Oryzias latipes: one gene and its partner. The protein of the gene in region 1 purifies or fractionates together with the protein of each later gene. This does not show direct contact. Links are inferred from orthologs where the notes say so. Each region holds a gene or a part of one and is shown on either strand. Other genes may lie near its edges. The genes, in order: map4k5 and crkl.

Evidence for each region.
Region 2: the proteins of map4k5 (region 1) and crkl purify together in Homo sapiens (affinity purification with western blotting; 3 studies listed by BioGRID and IntAct, with this or other methods). This does not show direct contact. The link is inferred for Oryzias latipes from reciprocal best matches to the Homo sapiens genes MAP4K5 and CRKL.

The regions. Positions count from the first base shown.
Region 1 is NC_019880.2:1,340,170-1,344,676, forward strand, and holds the end of map4k5 (mitogen-activated protein kinase kinase kinase kinase 5), read left to right. Parts: intron 1-312; coding exon 313-405; intron 406-1,165; coding exon 1,166-1,236; intron 1,237-1,849; coding exon 1,850-1,905; intron 1,906-3,259; coding exon 3,260-3,347; 3' UTR 3,348-3,967; downstream 3,968-4,507. UniProt on the Homo sapiens protein: May play a role in the response to environmental stress. Appears to act upstream of the JUN N-terminal pathway.
Region 2 is NC_019870.2:17,501,255-17,505,845, forward strand, and holds the start of crkl (crk-like protein), read left to right. Parts: upstream 1-1,599; 5' UTR 1,600-2,397; coding exon 2,398-2,708; intron 2,709-4,126; coding exon 4,127-4,591. UniProt on the Homo sapiens protein: May mediate the transduction of intracellular signals.

The DNA of each region.
Region 1 (4,507 bases):
TCTTCTTCTTTCATTTGAGTTTTAACTGCAGTGTTTCCCCCAGAGACCCCCCCCCTCCACATCATCGATGACCCTTCTCAGTGAATGTGGTCACTGAAGGGGGGGGGGGGTCTCCCGGATCTGGCTCCTTGCTTTATGAGGGGGGGGGTCCTGAGGCATCAAGCCAGTGTTGTGTTGTGTTTTTTTGTTGCATTTTACAGCTTTTAAAAAAAGTTGTAAAGATTTCAGACTTTCCTAACTTTAGCCAAGAAAGTGCTCTAAAAGTAAAGTGTTGGGTTTTGGCTTCACCACCTTCACTCCTTCGTTCTTCAGAAAACTTGAAGATCGTCAATCTTCAGGGGAGACTGAAGTCCAACAAGAAGCTGGCCTCTGAACTCAGCTTCAACTTCAGCATCGAGTCCGTCGGTGAGTCCACGCCGTCCATCACAGTCGGATCCTCCTTAAAGAAACCCGTGTTTGCTCGAATGCGTGCAGCTCTGAGCACGCCTGATCTGGACTGGAACAAACCGGTTCTTGGTCTGGAATCCATGCATAAAAACCAAAGCCTCTTTCCATGCTGGAAAAATGCAAACGTTCCTCTGTTTACAAAAGACTTCACCTTCATCTTCTGCTGCTGAAGGAGCAGGTTTGACCTCCATGTGGAAGCCTTTGTTGAAGGTCGTGACCTCCACATCTGGATCCACATGTGCAGAACTGGTCTCTCCAGTCTCTTCTTCTCTGGGACATTTTCATGGAGTCAGCAGCCGTTTGGTTTCAACGGCGTTCCCAGAAGAACCAAAGACTGAAGCAAACCGAACATGTGGAAGACTTGCTGTTCCATCAGCTGCTCATGTGGGGGCGCTGTTGGCGGAAAGAAGTCGTCTCCTGACTCTCATCCATGAAGAAGCTCCTGCATCTCCTCACTGCTCCACCGTCATGTTGTCTTCTTCTGTCTGGGGTTCGGATTTTTACATAAACGCCGTTTTCTGATGGTCAGAGCCGGTCACATGACGGGCTGCTGTCAGGTTCTGATCTTCCTTCTGGTTTCCTTCAGTCGCTCCTGAAAGCCAGAGATCCTGAAGCCAACGTTTCAGCTTTTCCTGGCTTTCAGATGTTGGCGGTGGGACACAGTATGGTGGGTTTTGAGTGTTTCCGCCAGCGTTTCATGGCTCCCTTTCCTCTGCAGTGTGCCTGCAGGACAGCGTCTTGGTCTTCTGGAAACACGGCATGCAGGGCAAGAGCTTCCGGTCCAACGAGGTAAGACGGCTTTGAGACCTTCTTCTTCTGCACGGCGGTTCTTCACCGCTTCTCTGGTTTTTCAGGATTTTACATTCAGGTAATTTGCAGAGAAGCTGCAGAAACTGTCAGTTTGTTTCTGATCCAAAAGACTGAGACCTGATCTGGGTAGAGCCCCCGCCCCGCCCCGAAAGCTCAGATGAGGATTTTGAAGCCCTCATGTAAAATTCATGCTCTGTCATAAATGAGCCCGTCACAGTCGCAGAGCCCCCCCCATCAATAATTCAGCCCCCCCGCCTCGTTCACGGCTCTCCTCGTAGAGCGAGGACTCCGGGGGGGTCAGGCTCCACCTGAGACCTTGTTGTCTTTAGGCGTGATCAGATCTCCCCGGGGGGCTCACACCTCGCAGGTGTCACCCCCCCCTCCAGCTGTCAGCAAGTGTTCATGACATGACCTCATGTTTTACACGGCTACAGGCTTCTCCACGGCAACAAAATCCTCCCCCAGCCCTGAAAAAACCCGAGCCGCTCCTCCAGCGCCGAAACCAAAGACCGGCTCAGAATTCAACACGCCGGTGTCCTCCACGGCGCCGCTCTGGGATTGTGGGTTAAACGCCCTGATGTTTGTTTTCCAGGTGACCCAGGAGATCTGTGACCCGAGCAGAGTCTTCCGCCTCCTGGGATCCGACAGGTTGGTGCCGACGTTTGCCGCGTTTTCCCTGAGAAAGATCCAGAGTGGAAAATGAATTAACAAAAAAAACTGCATGCAGAAGTTCAGACGAGCAGAACCGGGTTCTGTTTGTCTGAGTAAACATCCCTGTTGGCATGGTTACTCTGACAGGACACGCCCCCTCAGCATCCAGTCATGGCGGATCAGGTAAAAACCGCTTCCATCACGCCTCAGAAGAGGTGATGAGCAGAACATCCTCACAGGGATCATAGAGTTCTCCTACAGAAAATAATCCCCCCCTAGAACCGGGTTTTGGACCGAGTTTCACAGAGAGGATGAAGGGGATCACGTAGTTTCTCCGGTCTGCCTTTTGACCCGTTAGCTTTTTCAACATGATGACGCGTTCAAGAACAAAACAAACTTTCAGTTTCGTCTTTTCACATCTTCAGCTCCTTCGCTAAACTTCAGGATGGTTTTCTGGAGAAGCTCCAGAAGTTCTTTCACGTTTGAGTCCATTGAACGGATCCAGCGTTGGCCGGACGCTGGACCAGCAGCTCACGGCGGCTGCAGTGAAGACCCATCATTCTGGTGCCGCCTCCGGCACCAGAATGATCCGTCTCCGTGCCGCCGAGCCCGCCATGTTTTATTCACCGGTGCCGCCAGCCGGGTGTGAGTTTCTCTGCCCGACTCTGAAATTTCATCTGATGGAACGGACCGGATAGGATGCGGTTCTGCTGCCGTCCCGTCATCCCGGGGACGGATTCCATCTGAAAGTGAAGGTGACTCGCTCCACCGCCGGCGCCCGCTGCTAGGACACTTCCCTCCCCTTCCCGCTCTCAGATTTTCTTCCCGCTCGTTCAGTCATCCCCCGCATAACCACCAGTGAGATGGACCGGACGTCACATGACCCGGCTGTTTGGTTTTCAGCCGTTTGAATCCTTTGTTGTAAATGTACAAATAAGCTAAAAAGACGGTTTAAGGGCAGGATGGGACGGTCACATGTCAAAGAGCCACGCCCTCATTTTTACTCCTGACGGCACGCGTGTCCATCACAGCAGCACCACTTCCTTCCTGTGACGGACCGTTGTCGTCCAGTTAATCCACTGAGTTGCACAGGAAGCCCGAACCATGACTCCTCCACCACCGTTCCTCTTGATTTTCTCTGCAGCTGTCTAGCGCGTCTGCAGGACAGTTGGTTACAGAGCCACGGGGAGTTGAACGTCGTTCTCAGCGAATCATCTGAGATGGTTGATCTGTGTGATGGAGAAGCTTTCATGTTGTCATAGTAACCTGCAGAATCGTTGCAGACGGAGGTTCTTGGTCCTCTGGTGCCGTCACAGCCTCACCGCTGACTCCCTCTCCTGTTTGTTCACAGGGTGGTTGTTTTGGAGAGCCGGCCGACCGACAACCCCACCGCCCACAGCAACCTCTACATCTTAGCTGGACACGAGAACAGTTACTGATCCGCTCCGCACGGTGGAGGACCGCCGGAGCTCCAGCTTTGGGAGACCAGCCCACATGTGGAGTACGAAGCTATTGACGCGTTACTGGGAGCTTTTGTTTCAGGATGGGAGAGGAGCGCCGGCGGGAACCACATCTCGCTGGAGGGTTCGGCATCTTCTCCGCCGCGCAGGTGACCGACCTCTGCAGACGTTTTCCTTAAAAGTGCCATTAATCCGTCTGGGATTGAGTTCGGAACGGCGGGAGAACACCTGTAACACGTAGCGTGTCCGTAGACTCCAGGGGAGATTTTAAAACCCGACTAATGAGCTCACGGAGCTGCCCAAGAGCATTGTGGGTAATTTAAACAATATTTATTAACTCATCTTTGGTCGGAGGGAGTCCTGGATGTTTCTGCCGTGTAATTTTGCTTCTCCTGTCTGCTGCTTTTTTACGAACGTGGATCTATTGTACATGCCCCGCCCCCTACCTTTATAGAACATTTAATTCTTTGCACCATTTAAGCACTTTTGTACATTTTTTTAATTTAAAATGAAATGATAAAATGAGGGACGATGCTCGGTTTTTATTAACATCCCTGCAAATGTTTTGTAATTAAAAGCTTTTAACTTGAAAAACCCTGTCTCATTGTTATGGTGTGTGTGTGGGGGGGGGTCCTCAGAGGGGAAACAGCTTCCCTAAAGTTGTTTTCAAAGAGGCTGTAATGACATCAGAGCTAAGGTAAACATCACCTAAGGGGGGCGGGGCGGTTTCTAAGGATTTTAAAGGAAGCAGAAATGTGTGAACCTACTGAAGTCCCCTTCAAAATAAGAGCAGCAGGGAGGATAGTTGGGGTTTTTTTCAGAGCTGACGCTGTTTTGATGAACTAAAGAAACGTTTTTGCATAAAAATCAGAAGTTTCTTTATAAAATGTACATTCAGAAACATTCAAACTGGCATTTGATGGGAAAAGCTTCATAATGTGAGTTCAGCTGTCTGCATAGGTTCACTTCTATAAGTTAAAAAAATCATAAAATATTTTTTAAAGCTAAAGAGTTTGGTGCCAAAAAAATATCATTTAGTTTATCACACAGCAGGTTAGTGTAAAAAAACACATTTTTCTATTTATACGGCTCCATATAAGACAGAGAAACAGACATGATTAGAAACCTCCAGAAGAGTC
Region 2 (4,591 bases), on another chromosome or scaffold:
TCGTTGCTTATTTTCCCTGAAATCTGGGAACTGGCATGAATCGGTTGGTCAGACCAGCGTTTGTATTCTGGCAGTGGCGCTCTGATGAGAGGTTCACTGTCTTGATCTGTAGCCTCACAAGGCATAGCCGCTGAAACCACAAGCACAGAGCTACCTCTTTGTGTGTTTTACTTTCATCACAGAGCAGAAGTAGCAGCCCTGCTGCAGAGTTTTGCCTGTCAAATGAATCCACTATTGTGTTTTGTCAGGGAGGATTTTTATGTGGCACAGCCTTTTGCATTTTAAAAACTCTTTTTTTTCCCTTCCGTTGTATTTCTTATTGAGTCAAGTAGCAGTTTACTATTAGTGTGTCACCGTCCAATTCCAGACCATATATACATTAAGATCGAGTGAAAGGGGAAGTTAAGAAACATCAGGAAATGAAATAAGAGAAACATGCTTTTTTCTCCTTTAGAGATACTTAACAGAGAAAACGGGCTTTTTCATTTTAGCGAGTCTATATCTCAGTCTATTATAAAGCTACACATCTGCAGAGGTATCAGCCATAAAAAATATCTAAGCACTAAGATATAAGGAGTTTTGAAAGTGTAGCTAAAAATTTTTGCTTTAAAATCTCTGACAAATTCAGCAACTCCCTGAACCTGAAAGGGATTCAGCAGGTTTAGGAAATGCATGGATGGATGAATTCAGGCTAAAACCAACAAAAACAATGGTTCACTTCTATTTAGCATAAAAATAACAGTAACAAACACAAAGCACTGATGTACTTTTCTACTGAAGCTCCTGCCAGGTTTACGTCAGAGAAAAATCAGCCCAAAGGTTGCAGACCCCTGGTATACTGTGACATTTCTCACACAATATTTGAGTAGTTTGGTTTTATTAAGTTATTTTTTCTCTCTTATTTACTTCAGAATAGTAGCCTAGTCTATGATCAGTGGTGGATTTAAAACATTTCATATGGGGGGGCAGTAGACTTTAATTGGGTGGCAAATGTGATAAGCAGAGAGGAAGGCCATTACAAATGAAAGGGTTAACCATGTTTCATAGTTTTATTATTGTTATTAATAACAACACTGCATTTTTTTTTTTTGCTGAGGTGCCATTACTAACAAAGCTTGCATTAATGATTTCTTAATCTTTGTGAAAATAATAATACTGTTTCAAAAATTGGTTGGGGGCAACTGCCCCCTTCTGCCCCCCTGTAGCTCTGGCCCTGCTCATGGTGGTTAAATGGAGGAACTCCTGCTTCACACGATTCCCTTTTGTTTATTAGCCGTGCGATCATTGAAAATTTGGCCGCACATCTTTTGGTTGGTGTTTTGTCAGGTCTAAAATGGAATAGGAAGAAAAAGAAAAGAAAACTTAAACCGGCACATTAAAAAAGAAAACTTTATTGAAAATGAACAGTTTTACAGAATATATAGACAAGGGCATCCGAAACAAATTAATGAACACACTTTTTTTTTACTCACAATAATAAAAGCAAGGGACATGAAATGACAACAGTGACACATCAAAGTGGGCCCGCCAGAAACGTCATCACTCGCCCACCTTTTCCTCCGCCCACGGCCCCACCCCTTCCTCTCCTGCTCCCCTCCGTGACGTGCAGATAGAAAGCGGGACCAGCCCTCCCGTCGCCATTTTTCCCGTGTCCTGCTTGCGCTTTCTGCTGGCTGAAACAAGCGGGACCCGCTGAAATTAGAGAACGGATATCGCACGGAACCGGCACGCCTGGATCTCTCGCGGGCACTCGAGGAATGCACGCGAGAACTGGAGCGCAGCAGACACGCGGCGGCCGTCATATCATTTTTTGGTGTGAAGACGTGTTGCGAGCCGCCATTTTTCCCCCCCTCAAAAGTCTACTCCGACCCGAGAAAGGGGAGTTAAACACCCCAATTCCGTGACGTCCGCCTTTTTGTGACACCAAGAGGATACAGAGTCGGTATTTTCTTTCTCTACGCTGTCACAATTTTTGTTTTTAGTTGCAAACATGGAGATGGAACGCGCCTGAGGCCACCCTTTCCGTTCTCGTAACTGACACTGACTGAACTGAAGCTAAATAATTGTGAGTTTTCGCGGAAGGCGGAACAACGAGAGGAAGCTTTATTGATCATTTGTTGCTTCAGTTTCCGTCGATGTTCGTCCGTTTCGGGGCCGTTAGCTGCTCGTCACATTATGCTCCCGGGCTGGATCAGCAGGTCGGTCGCAGCCTGTCGCTGAAAACGTCAGGTTGATCTTTTGTTTATTTGTTTTAATCGGGTCCTCGGGCGACGAACGCCCTACCCCGCATCTGCCAAGTACTGCAGCTGGATGCGATAGGCCCGTTTGAATCTAACTTATTCAATAGTTCTCATTTTCTTCTTTATATTAACTTATTTTTTAAAGATTTTTTTTAAAATGTCCGCGTCCCGATTTGACTCGTCTGATCGCTCGGCCTGGTATTTCGGACCAGTGTCGCGACAGGAGGCGCAGAACAGGTTACAGGGGCAGAGACACGGCATGTTTCTGGTGCGAGACTCGTCCACCTGTCCCGGGGACTACGTGCTGTCGGTGTCCGAAAACTCCAAAGTATCTCACTATATCATCAACTCTTTGCCCAGTAAGAGGTTCAAGATAGGAGATCAAGAGTTCGAAAACCTCCCAGCCCTTCTGGAGTTCTACAAAATCCATTACCTGGACACAACAACGCTAATAGAACCAGCATCCAGGTACGATCGTGACGTCTTCCAGCATCCCGGTAGACGACCACTTTCTGTTCTGTTATTCCTCAGCAAATATGTCGTTGAATTAGCATGTTATTGGACAGTTCCTGTTGAGTTTGTTTTAACATTAGCTAAGATGTTCATGAATAACTAGCCTGATCTGTACACAACTGTGTGTGACATTAGGGGGTGTAACAGTTCGATTTGTATCATAATTCATAGTTGCCAACCCGATTCATAGTCGATATTGATTCATTTTGAATGATCCGATCATCCACTGACCTGAAATCAATCCACCATGACATATTTCGCCAAAATTTCAACCAGTTCGACTCAGAGATAAATACTTGGATACTCAACAGTGCAGGTGAAATCTTCCAGATTCCCTGTCTTTCTTGGAAGATAATCAGGTGTAAATTAAATATGTGTACAAACAAACAAACAAGTAAACAACAATTAATGGCAAATGTATTTTAGTCTAACAAAGTTCAGCCCACTTTTGTTTTTCCACATAAGAATAATACAAAGGCCATTTTTAGAACATTCTACCACACTGAATGGTGACGTCTTAGCTAAATTCATAGTAGTTCCTTAAATTGAACTGGAACGATGGACTGATCTTTTTTTATTTTATTTATTTATTTATTTTGCCGCTATCACGTTTGTTGTCCTCTCTCAAGGTCGTTTTTACGTTATAGAAAAATAAACAATCCAAATGGTATTTTCCTGTATCGATTTGAAGGTCATTTTGAAATAATTTAATAATGGTATAGATCAATTCTATTAACAACAGATAAATCGATCTGGAAATCATTTAAGGCAATTGATCGTTACACCCCTGTAGGGTATAGTACATTTGCGTGTGTATTCTAGTGTTTTTACACACTCTTACACACCAAGGCATTAGTGCACTTCATGCAGATGATACCTTTCTTAACCCTTTGACACCGTAACTTTAGCTGCTGTGTTGATGGTCTTGAATTACAGTAACTCTTCAACCGTTTAGGCAATTAACATATGTTCTGAACTATAAGTTGCAGCAGCTAAACAATACATCATAAGGAAGGGGGGAAATCATCTATTAGTCACACTGGAGTTTAAGTCGCACTTTTTAACATAGTACGTGACCAAGAACTAACGTTTAATCTCTAAAGGAGATCATACTAATGGAAAAGATAACAATAATGCACTTATTATCTGCACACTTCACTACAAACTGATGCATGTATAGTGCAAGCATCAGTGCATTTTTAGCCAGTTTTCTCAACTGTAGAATCTGTTGGAATTTTGTTACTTGGGTAAATGGTCCAAGAGTTACAGTAGTTTGAAGAGCATGTGTTGTTTCATGTCTATTAAAGGGTTAACAAGGAACCATTGATACACTCTTCTACGCAAAACATTTCAGTTGGGTCATATCTTTTCAGGTACCCAAGCACTATTGGTGGTCCGGTCCAGTCTATGATTGGTCCAGAGGATAACTTTGAGTACGTGCGGACACTATATGACTTCACTGGTAGTGACGCGGAGGACCTTCCATTCAAGAAAGGGGAGATCCTTATCATTTTGGAAAAGCCAGAGGAACAATGGTGGAGTGCCAAAAATAAAGATGGACGCGTCGGGATGATCCCCGTGCCCTACGTGGAGAAATTGGTACGACCCTCCCCCCATCCTGGCCAGCCTTCCCACGGCTCGCGCAACTCCAACAGCTACGGTATCCCGGAGCCATCCCACTCCCTTGTTAACGCCTATGCCCAGCCCCAGACCTCTCCCCCCATGCCCCCCGGCACACCCGGAGCAGTCATTGCCCCGTTGCCCTCCATGCAGAATGGTCCTGTGTTGGCAAAGGCCATTCAGAAGCGTGTGCCCTGTGCCTACGACAAAACTGCCCT